Arabidopsis thaliana: one gene and its partner. The protein of the gene in region 1 interacts with the protein of each later gene in a pairwise test. Each region holds a gene or a part of one and is shown in the gene's direction. Other genes may lie near its edges.

What was found.
Region 2: the proteins of CHX20 (region 1) and MTPB1 interact in a protein complementation assay, tested with the Arabidopsis thaliana proteins (one large-scale study listed by BioGRID).

The regions. Positions count from the first base shown.
Region 1 is NC_003074.8:19,905,047-19,912,230, reverse strand, and holds CHX20 (cation/H+ exchanger 20), read left to right. Parts: upstream 1-2,004; 5' UTR 2,005-2,203; coding exon 2,204-2,383; exon of another isoform or gene 2,384-2,485; coding exon 2,486-3,520; intron 3,521-4,783; coding exon 4,784-5,020; intron 5,021-5,244; coding exon 5,245-5,958; intron 5,959-6,042; coding exon 6,043-6,405; 3' UTR 6,406-6,640; downstream 6,641-7,184. Other genes in the region: AGD6 (ARF-GAP domain 6), read left to right, coding at 6,812-7,184. UniProt on the Arabidopsis thaliana protein: Operates as a K(+)/H(+) antiporter that maintains K(+) homeostasis in guard cells and could regulate pH. Plays a critical role in osmoregulation through the control of stomates opening.
Region 2 is NC_003071.7:12,614,360-12,618,493, forward strand, and holds MTPB1 (metal tolerance protein B1), read left to right. Parts: upstream 1-2,018; 5' UTR 2,019-2,318; intron 2,319-2,447; 5' UTR 2,448-2,450; coding exon 2,451-3,578; 3' UTR 3,579-3,628; downstream 3,629-4,134. Other genes in the region: TOPP1 (type one protein phosphatase 1), read right to left, coding at 1-243, 699-924; GSTU7 (glutathione S-transferase tau 7), read right to left, coding at 3,752-4,108. UniProt on the Arabidopsis thaliana protein: Involved in sequestration of excess zinc in the cytoplasm into vacuoles to maintain zinc homeostasis.

The DNA.
Region 1 (7,184 bases):
TAACTTCATTGAAAAATTCTAGTGTAGGGTAACTGGAAGAGAATATAGATTCTTCACCAATCAGGTGCAATCGCCATATTACTAACGTAATTGTACAAAAATATACAATTACATCAATGTCAATAGTTTAGTGTACATTAACATATTCTCAATCAGTCGTTACTGAAGTCAAATTTTATAATGAGTTGTTGTTGTATAATGGGACTCTCTACCTAGAACAGTTCGCTGTACTTATACTGTAGCCACTGAAAATTACTTTTTTCTCTAATCGACCCATTTTTCTGATTTTTTCGACCATGAATAATAAACCACTTTTCTTTCCGATTTACACAAATACAAAAGCTATGGAGCAAAATGTGTTGTTTCTTTTTCATTATTATTGCTATAGACTGTTTCATACACAAGTTCCAGTACAACTTAAAACACCATGATTTCACAGACAATTTCACTCTGCCGACCTTATTTGGGCGTGTGAGTCGTCAATGTCAAAGCTATAGTGTCTTTATAAATTGAGGATGTATTCTTTTCTTTCTTTTTTTTGTCAACAAAATTATTAGGATTAGCAATCTTATTTTCTACAAAGAGATACAACAAGTGTATTTGACATAACTCTTATGACATATCTGATCAACATGCAAAATATGACTTTGAGCTGCAATTTAAGGTACAATAGTCTAGCTAGATTCATGAATCTTCTCTATAAATCTTTTTTTTTCTTTTTTTTTTTAATGTTCTATCTTTGAGCTGTAATGTAAAAAAAGATGGGTGAGACCAAACTTGCTATGTTTTGAACTAACTGTTCCTCAAAATTTGGAGGACCACTTGTTTGGCACTTTTGGCTTGCCTTCATGAAAAGTCCAAATCTATTTCATAGAAAGGGAAATGAAATAACGATCGCCTCGTGATTTTCAGTTTTTTTTTTTTTTTTTTTTTTTTTTTTGTAATCAGTATTCTTGTGAATTCTCCCACTATCTAAACTTTTAAAAAGTAATATGATTGACGTAGTTTCTCTTAAAAAATTTAAATAAGTTTTTTTCCATTGGATATGTGTCTTGGACTAATATTTCGACCATTAGGTAGGTCAGAAAATATGGATTTCGAGTCTATAACTTTTGGTGACCTTTTTATCGCGTCAATCGGATTTGAGAGATCCTTAAGATAATATGCACAAAAGTAACTAACGCTCCAAAACATCTAATAGAAAACCGTGTGATCATTATATTAATCTTAAACCACAAACATACATAATTACTTAACCATGAAATGGTCGAAATAAAGTGTGATTACAAAATTTATAGCATCTTCGAGGCAGTCCACTGCTTTAGATCCTTTATTTCTACAATTTCAGATGTCTCTTTGCCACAATCTAACTCTTAATTTTTTCATACTGTATATGATAGTCATAGCTATTATCAACAGTTTTATTTCAAACTTGACGAACAATCTAAACTAGATAAAAAGTTAGGAAAGTCGTAAATACCAAGCAGAATTGAGATACCACTTCTTGGAAAAATCAACAGCTCTATTTAATGAAAATATTGCCAACTTATATCGAAATACTTTGGAATATATGAGAAGTCATAGATACGTGTCAATTTGGTTGCACTTGTAAAACCCATCCACGCCGACGCAGCATTTGTCAACGCCCATCTCTCGCGTCCCACGTTTGACTCACATGATTCCTGCTTCGGTGATAAGCCACTCTTATTTTAGTTTGCAATTTCCGTCTGTGAGACGAGTTGTTTCTTTTTTTCTTCTCAATACTAAATTTATGTTATTAGTTTTGCTTGAAATAAAACTGATAAGAATGAGTTATAGCAACCACAAATTGTTTTTGAGTAGATTTTTACTTTCTATACTTTATTGTAAACATGAACAATTCAAAGACATAGATGGTTTCTAATTATAGCACCCAAAATCTAATGGTTTTTAAATTTTCTACTAAAAAAACAAATATCATAAGAAAAAAAAAAAAAACCAAATACTTCCACTCAAGGTCTAGTCACACGTGAGATGCACCAAAATTACAAGTAACAACATAATTACTTTTTTGAATCTTCAAACCAATACATTTATAATTTTTGCCTATAAATTTCTTCACATATCTTCTTCATACTTGAACTATATCACATGTTCCAAATATAGACGAGAACAAAACAAAAAAAAAAAGTCGTCGATAAGAGAGTCCTTTGAAATCCCCAAAATGCCCTTCAACATAACCTCCGTGAAAACCTCATCTAACGGAGTATGGCAAGGCGACAATCCTTTAAACTTCGCTTTTCCGTTACTCATCGTCCAAACGGCGTTAATCATCGCCGTCAGTCGCTTCCTCGCCGTCTTATTCAAACCTCTCCGTCAACCCAAAGTCATCGCCGAGATTGTCGTACGTTAAAAATTACACTCTAACCCCACACACACTAACTATTTACAATTTTACCATAATAATCTTCTTAATTTACAATTCTGCCATCGTCTTCTTCTTCAGGGAGGGATTTTGTTAGGACCATCGGCTTTAGGTAGAAACATGGCGTACATGGACCGTATATTTCCGAAATGGAGTATGCCGATACTCGAATCCGTCGCGAGCATAGGACTTCTCTTCTTCCTCTTCCTCGTCGGTCTAGAACTCGATTTATCATCGATCCGACGAAGCGGCAAACGCGCTTTCGGAATCGCAGTCGCTGGAATTACACTACCGTTTATCGCCGGCGTCGGAGTCGCGTTTGTGATCCGTAACACTCTCTACACCGCCGCGGATAAACCAGGTTACGCCGAGTTTCTCGTTTTCATGGGAGTCGCACTCTCGATCACAGCTTTTCCGGTACTTGCGCGTATTTTAGCAGAGCTCAAGCTTTTAACGACTCAGATAGGAGAAACCGCGATGGCTGCAGCCGCTTTTAACGATGTAGCCGCGTGGATTTTACTCGCTTTAGCGGTTGCGTTAGCGGGTAATGGCGGTGAGGGAGGTGGAGAGAAAAAGAGTCCGTTAGTGTCGTTGTGGGTTTTGTTATCGGGCGCTGGGTTTGTGGTTTTTATGTTGGTTGTGATCCGACCCGGAATGAAATGGGTCGCGAAACGTGGATCTCCTGAAAACGACGTCGTACGCGAGTCTTACGTGTGTTTGACGTTAGCCGGTGTTATGGTTTCCGGTTTCGCGACGGATTTAATTGGGATTCATTCGATTTTTGGAGCGTTTGTTTTCGGTTTGACTATACCGAAAGATGGAGAGTTTGGTCAGCGATTGATTGAACGAATTGAGGATTTTGTTTCCGGTTTACTCTTACCGCTTTATTTCGCTACGAGTGGTTTGAAGACTGACGTGGCTAAGATTAGAGGAGCTGAGTCGTGGGGGATGTTGGGTCTTGTTGTTGTTACGGCTTGTGCCGGGAAGATAGTCGGAACTTTTGTTGTGGCGGTGATGGTTAAAGTTCCGGCGAGAGAGGCGTTGACACTTGGTTTCTTGATGAATACTAAAGGTTTAGTGGAGCTCATTGTACTCAACATAGGCAAGGAGAAAAAGGTTAGTTTTGTCTTCCTTTTTTCTGATTTTTTAAGGTTCTTGTTTACGCTTTTAGTTATCTGATGAATATTATAAATATAAAAAACCTAGTAACACTAAAGTTATTTGATCATGTTTAGTGGATAAAGCATATAAAACAAAATACGATTATTATATTGATTTAATCGCATCTATACCTTTATTTTAGGGTGTTTAGATATATTTAAAAATTTAGGTTCTAGTTGGATCCATGTGTATATGCGTCCGGTCCGCTCAATATTGGTAGGCTGGTCGGGGATCCGGAATAGTAAAATTGCTTATGTTTTATTTGAACATTAACCAACCGTTGTATAAATTCAAATTGATAGCTAGGCAGGCCCGGCTCTAGGGGAGTGCCAGAGGTGCTAGTACACAGGGTCCTCATTTTTTTTTCTTAATTTTAAGTCTTCTAGTTTGCAGTTTTTTTTTTTTTAAGGGGAAAACTACAAAAAAAACAACCACCAAAATAAAAGATAATAAGTTTAAAATAAAAATACAGTAAACACATGTCACATAAAGTTATTTTGTTTAGATTTAAGGGCTATTTTTGTTTGTAGCACAGGGCCCAATAAAATATTGAGCCGGGCTGCTAGGTTTACTATCACTATAATAGACACGGTTGCAATTTGATAGCTAGGTTTGCTCTCAACCGTTGTATAGTAATATTAGTCACCATAATACAAATCTGCAGTTCATTAATCATAGACTGATGGACACGGTTGCAATTTGATAGCTAAGTTTACTATGTGCATCGAAGATGATGCAGTTAGCAATGGTAGCTTCAAAACATTAGTCCGTGATTCTTTTGTCACCTCCGAAATAAACATTTTTATCTTAAATATATGTGCAAGATTATACTATAATGCTTCTGGAAATATGTAGTATATAAAATTTTTTGTTTAAACGTGTCTTCCCAACAAAGATTATAGTTATATACTACACTTTTATTATAAAGGCGTTTCTTATTGTTTTGGGGTAATAAAGAAAAACTGATCAATTAAGGACTAGTCATATATATGCATGCATGAAAACTTTATTTTTATTTTTTTTTCTGCATGAAAACTTTATACGAATATACCTTTTCGAATGGGCCAATGTTTACGTAATCGTCACTTACTGATCCACTTGCAGATTTATGATCTTCTTCATAATGCAACAATAAAGTGAAATAATGATTACCCATTAATGTAGTAAGTGTGGTTATTTTTAATTAAACTGTTTGTACGCGGGGTTGACTTTAACCAGGTACTAAACGACGAGACGTTTGCAATACTAGTGCTAATGGCACTCTTCACAACGTTCATAACGACGCCTACTGTAATGGCCATTTACAAGCCGGCACGTGGCACCCACCGCAAACTAAAAGACTTGTCGGCGAGCCAAGACTCCACCAAGGAAGAGCTTCGCATCCTAGCCTGCCTCCACGGCCCAGCCAATGTCTCCTCCCTCATCTCTCTCGTCGAGTCCATCCGAACCACCAAGGTAAATTACCTTTCTTTTATATTTTTACGTTACAATAATCTATATTTAAATTTGTAAATCTATGATAAGAGTTATATCAGAAAATTAAGATATCATTGAAATGCTCAATGAAAATGTATCCTACGTATAATTACACACATTTTGTATAGTTAAAATTAAAAATCAGCTGGGTAATAATTTATAATCTTGGTTAATAATTTAAAAAGTCGTATTTGTTTTGGCAGATACTACGGCTAAAGCTGTTTGTGATGCATCTGATGGAACTAACGGAACGGTCTTCGTCAATCATAATGGTGCAAAGAGCCCGTAAAAACGGACTTCCTTTCGTTCACCGTTACCGTCATGGTGAGCGTCACAGCAACGTCATAGGAGGCTTCGAAGCCTATCGTCAACTAGGCCGGGTCGCAGTCCGGCCCATCACCGCAGTCTCTCCATTACCCACAATGCACGAAGACATTTGCCACATGGCAGATACCAAGAGGGTCACAATGATCATTTTACCTTTCCACAAACGATGGAACGCTGATCATGGTCATAGCCACCACCACCAAGACGGAGGAGGAGATGGAAACGTACCGGAAAACGTTGGTCATGGTTGGCGATTGGTTAACCAAAGGGTTTTGAAGAATGCGCCGTGTTCGGTGGCGGTTCTTGTAGACCGTGGACTTGGGTCCATTGAGGCCCAAACTTTGAGCTTAGATGGGTCGAATGTGGTTGAAAGGGTTTGTGTGATTTTCTTTGGTGGGCCTGATGACCGTGAGTCTATAGAGCTCGGCGGGAGAATGGCTGAGCATCCGGCCGTTAAAGTTACCGTTATTAGGTTTTTGGTAAGAGAAACGTTGAGGAGTACCGCCGTCACTTTACGACCGGCACCGTCTAAAGGCAAGGAGAAGAACTATGCCTTTTTAACAACCAACGTGGATCCAGAAAAAGAAAAGGTAAATCTCTTTTGATCCCCTATGTTTATATACCAGTTATGACAAATATAACTATAGCTTTCTTTCTTGGAAAAATAATTATAGGAATTAGACGAAGGGGCATTGGAAGACTTCAAGAGCAAATGGAAAGAAATGGTGGAGTACAAAGAAAAGGAACCAAACAACATCATTGAAGAAATACTGTCAATAGGACAGAGTAAAGACTTTGATCTAATAGTGGTTGGAAGAGGGAGGATACCGTCGGCCGAGGTGGCGGCATTAGCTGAGCGTCAAGCTGAACATCCTGAGTTAGGTCCTATCGGAGACGTGCTCGCCTCTTCGATCAACCACATCATTCCATCAATCCTTGTGGTTCAACAACACAACAAAGCTCATGTAGAGGATATTACGGTTTCCAAAATTGTTAGTGAGTCTTCTCTAAGTATTAACGGAGACACAAATGTATGATAACAATAAATAAATTGATCTAGTACTTAAACTTCGGCTTAATGCATGGTTAAAGTGGTTAGTTGAAGATGTAGTTTATCTACAATATATAGATAGCTCTTGAGTAAGAATTGTAAGATCGTCTACATATAAATAACCATGATTGGGCATCTTGGGCATCGTCTACATATAATTTCATATTTGGACTAAATAGTAAATACAATTATCATTTGGGCCATTTGAGAAACTACCGGAAACCTCTCACGTGCCAGAGACACGTACCAAAAAAAACCCCGAACATTTATTAGGAAGAAGAGAAAAAACGGAAAAGAAAAAAAAACGCATCAATCTGAGCAGCACAAGTCTGCGAGATTTGGATTAGATCTGATTCAGGTTGGATTGATCATCGTTCGGAGCTCCGGGAAACATGGCGGCGACGAGACAATTACGAACTCTCCAATCTCAGCCTGAAAACAAGGTATGTGTCGATTGCGCTCAGAAGAATCCTCAATGGGCGTCGGTTTCGTACGGAATCTTCATGTGTTTGGAATGCTCCGGGAAACACCGAGGCTTAGGCGTTCACATATCCTTCGTCAGATCCGTAACCATGGATTCATGGTCTGCGATCCAGATTAAGAAAATGGAAGCTGGTGGTAACGAACGGCTCAACAAATTCTTCGCGCAATACGGAATCGCTAAGGAGACAGATATTATCTCCAAGTACAATTCGAACGCTGCTTCTGTGTATCGTGACCGGATCCAAGCTTTAGCTGAAGGTAGACCATGGAATGATCCGCCAG
Region 2 (4,134 bases), on another chromosome or scaffold:
ACCTGCGTTTGCACTCATCATAGAAACCGTAAATACGATTAATGGAAGCAGATTCATGATTCCCTCTCAACAAGAAGAAGTTCTCAGGGTACTTGATTTTGTAAGCTAGAAGAAGACATATTGTTTCCAAGCTTTGCTTGCCACGGTCAACATAATCACCCAAGAACAAATAATTAGCTTCGGGAGGGAACCCTCCATACTCAAAAAGCCTCAATAGATCTGAATACTGCCCATGAATATCACCTATAAAGTAAAAGACAAAATATAACCATTACATCTAAGAAAACATGGCATATCAGATACTACTAGTCAACGTTAAACTTTTGCAGGAAATGTTTTATCAGACCCAATCAAAACACATAACTTGACTAGTCAACATTAAGATAAAATGAATCAAACCTCATAGAACCAGTCAAAACTCCTAAGCCTATCTAAGACTTTTAGTAATAAAAATTCAAACTTTATACTACCCATTAGCTTGATTTCATTGTTCTGAACTCAAAAGACAATCAAAATCTCACATTTTTTCTTCAGTCACTTAGATATGTACATAGCTTTAAGAATTCAACTCATTACTACTGAACAAAGCTTGATACTTTATCTAAACATGCACTAAATTCGCTTCTAAAAATCAATCAAAACTAAAACCCCAATCCAAAAAAGCACTCTTTCTAAACTAAAGGGAACAAAAATCTGACCGCAGATCTTGATGGGAGCTTCCAATTCAAGCAGATTGGGCTGTTGAAGAAATATTTCTTTGGAGACAGCACAAAGCTGACGAATTTCACCTTCACTGAGATGAACTTGCTTCCCCGATCCAGGTCTCGTGTTCCGAAACTCAACCAAACGACGAATAATATCGTCGAGAACTGCAGGTTCCATCGCTCGCTTCTGCTCTTGCTCTTGCGCCGGCTTCTCCGCCATCTCCGATCTAAACGAGGTAGAAAACGAACGGAGATTTTCAAGCGTGAAGCTTGCGTTTCGAGCCGCGAGGAGGAGAGACCCGAAGACTGGTGTGTGCTCTGAGATTAGTCAATATTGATTGGTTCATTTTTTATTTATTTAATTTATTTACGAGACCTGAGTGAAATCAACCTAATGGGTATGTACACGTTTTATTGGGCCTGTAAATGGGCTATCTTTCTAGAAGATTCCTTTATACAAATTTCCAAACGGTAGAAAACTAGTTCTTCTAGCCTCTCTACGCGATCAGTAATAACGATTGGCGATAGTAATATAGTATTCACTATTCAGTAGTAATGATGGGGGATAGTGATCAACAATATGTTTTGTTGTTTGTTTAGCAGTCATCGGTAATGATCAGTGACCAATTATAACAATCAAATGTTACTATGTTAGTATGATATTCGTTTTCCGTAATTAAGTGGTAGATTAGATCAATCTTAATTCTTAAATTCTTAATTAGCGACTAATAAATTAAAACGCCAAAAAGTTTGAATTAGCAAATTAGTTACTGAAAACTTAGTGTTGCCATCAAAAACTACAAAACAACAATCTATTTGTTACCATGAAACTACAAAACAACCAAGATTTAGTGTTTGATCGGTAATACCTAATCTAATATAATCACCATCTGGTTGATGTGTCAAATTAACATGCATATGCGTGTATGCAAATACCATTCTTTTGTTAAAAATCACCAATTCACATTCTTAATTACATGCTAAGTGCTAACTAATAACTATGTAGTTTGATAAAACAAGTTAATATATCAACAACATTTTTATCAAAAGAAAAAAATAAACTATATCAACATGGACAAATTACATCACCTAACGGTCCTAACCTAATTTAAAATAATATTGATGTATGTTTATAATTGATTTCTATAATGAAAGAAAACAAAAAGACGAAAAAAACAACATGCTAAAGATCAAAGAACATTAGTTGAATCAATCCTTATTTTGAACAAAGAATAGTCAGTCCATTTTGTTCACCTGAAACGCAAACGCCACCTTTGTATGGTAATACAATCATACAAATCTCATACACACCAAAAGAAACACAAAATCACCAAAACAAAATCTTTATATTTATTTCTTTTTTCCTTGATTCTCCTTATTAAAGAAAAAAGATTATTCTTCTTCACCCGTCACAAGCCACAACGACTTATTTTAGATTCCCATACAAAAAAGAAAATTCCACATCTATAAAACATCTCCTCCCATATTTGCTGGATCATCCTTAATTGCCTGTGTTCATGTCTTCATATCTCTAACCATAAGATAAAACTCAAGATTTCTGAAGAGGACAGCTCTGGAATTCATATACGTTTTGCCTCTCCATCTGATTCTCAGGTTTGTTTCTTGTCTTAAAAGAAACACAAAATGGGTTTATTTGAATCTTTTAATCATAAAAATACTTAAAGAAAGAGGATCAAATGTTGATTTAGATCTCTAATGAAAGTTTGTGTAACGTATAAACAGCTTATGGAATTGGAGCAAATCTGCATTTTGAAACCCGATGATGAGGAAGAAATGGAGTCACCATCACCATCGAAAACAGAGGAAAATTTAGGCGTGGTTCCTCTGTCTTGCGCGTTTACGAGACAAGAACATTGCGTTTCCGAGACGAAAGAACGCGAAGAATCGACTAGAAGACTAAGCAGCCTTATTTTTCTTTACCTCATCGTTATGTCCGTACAGATTGTGGGAGGTTTTAAGGCGAATAGTCTTGCGGTTATGACAGATGCTGCGCATTTGTTGTCGGATGTGGCGGGTTTGTGTGTCTCTTTGTTGGCGATCAAGGTCTCGAGCTGGGAAGCTAATCCGCGAAACTCGTTCGGGTTTAAACGGCTTGAAGTTTTAGCGGCGTTCTTGTCTGTTCAGCTCATATGGCTTGTCTCTGGAGTGATAATCCATGAAGCCATTCAAAGACTACTTAGCAGAAGCAGAGAGGTTAATGGAGAAATCATGTTTGGGATTTCGGCTTTCGGGTTTTTCATGAACTTGGTTATGGTCCTTTGGTTAGGACATAACCATAGCCACCACCACCACGACCATCATCACCATCATCATAATCATAAACATCAACATCAACATCATCACAAGGAGGTGGTGGCAGAAGAGGAGGAGGAGGAAATGAATCCTTTAAAAGGTGAGAAATCGTCTTCAAAGGAGATGAACATTAACATACAAGGAGCTTATCTTCACGCAATGGCTGATATGATTCAGTCACTAGGTGTTATGATTGGTGGAGGTATCATTTGGGTAAAACCAAAATGGGTTTTGGTTGATTTGATTTGCACTCTTGTTTTCTCTGCTTTTGCTCTTGCTGCTACTCTACCAATTCTCAAGAACATATTTGGAATACTGATGGAACGCGTACCGCGTGATATGGACATAGAGAAGCTCGAAAGAGGACTTAAGCGAATCGATGGAGTTAAGATTGTTTATGATCTCCATGTATGGGAGATAACAGTAGGGAGAATCGTATTGTCCTGTCATATCTTACCAGAGCCTGGAGCTAGTCCTAAAGAGATCATTACTGGTGTTAGAAATTTCTGTAGGAAGTCTTATGGGATTTATCATGCAACTGTTCAGGTTGAATCAGAGTAGCACAAAAGAGAGTTTCTTCTGTATTATTTGCTTAAGAACATCTTTAGGTAGAACAAGAAAGAAAGTTCAAATTTTCGTGTTTCAATATAGCAAACATTAAGTGACAGAACATAGCAACTGAGACAAGAACAAAAGAGACATACTGTGAGCATTAGAATTTTTATAAAACCTTATCAAGCAGATTTGATATTGAGTTTCTCCATACGAGCTCTAATGTACTTAAGATGCTCATCTTCAGGAGGAATACATTTCTTGATAACATCATTACCCAACAAATTCTTAACCCATCTATGTATCTCCGGGAACTTCTCCACCGGAACCACCTTTACCCCGACGATCTCCTCCGTTCTCATCAGCCAAAACGCCACCAAAGTCGCCACAATATCCACAAACCCTAAACTTTTCCCACCGAGAAAATCTTTCCCAACAAGCTCTTTCTCCAAAAACATCAACAAATCTCTCGTCGCTTCAACCACAGCATCTCTCTCTTTTCCGGTCTTCCCCACAACTTTCATCGCCGTCACATAAATCTGAAACTCCCCAACAAACCGGTTTT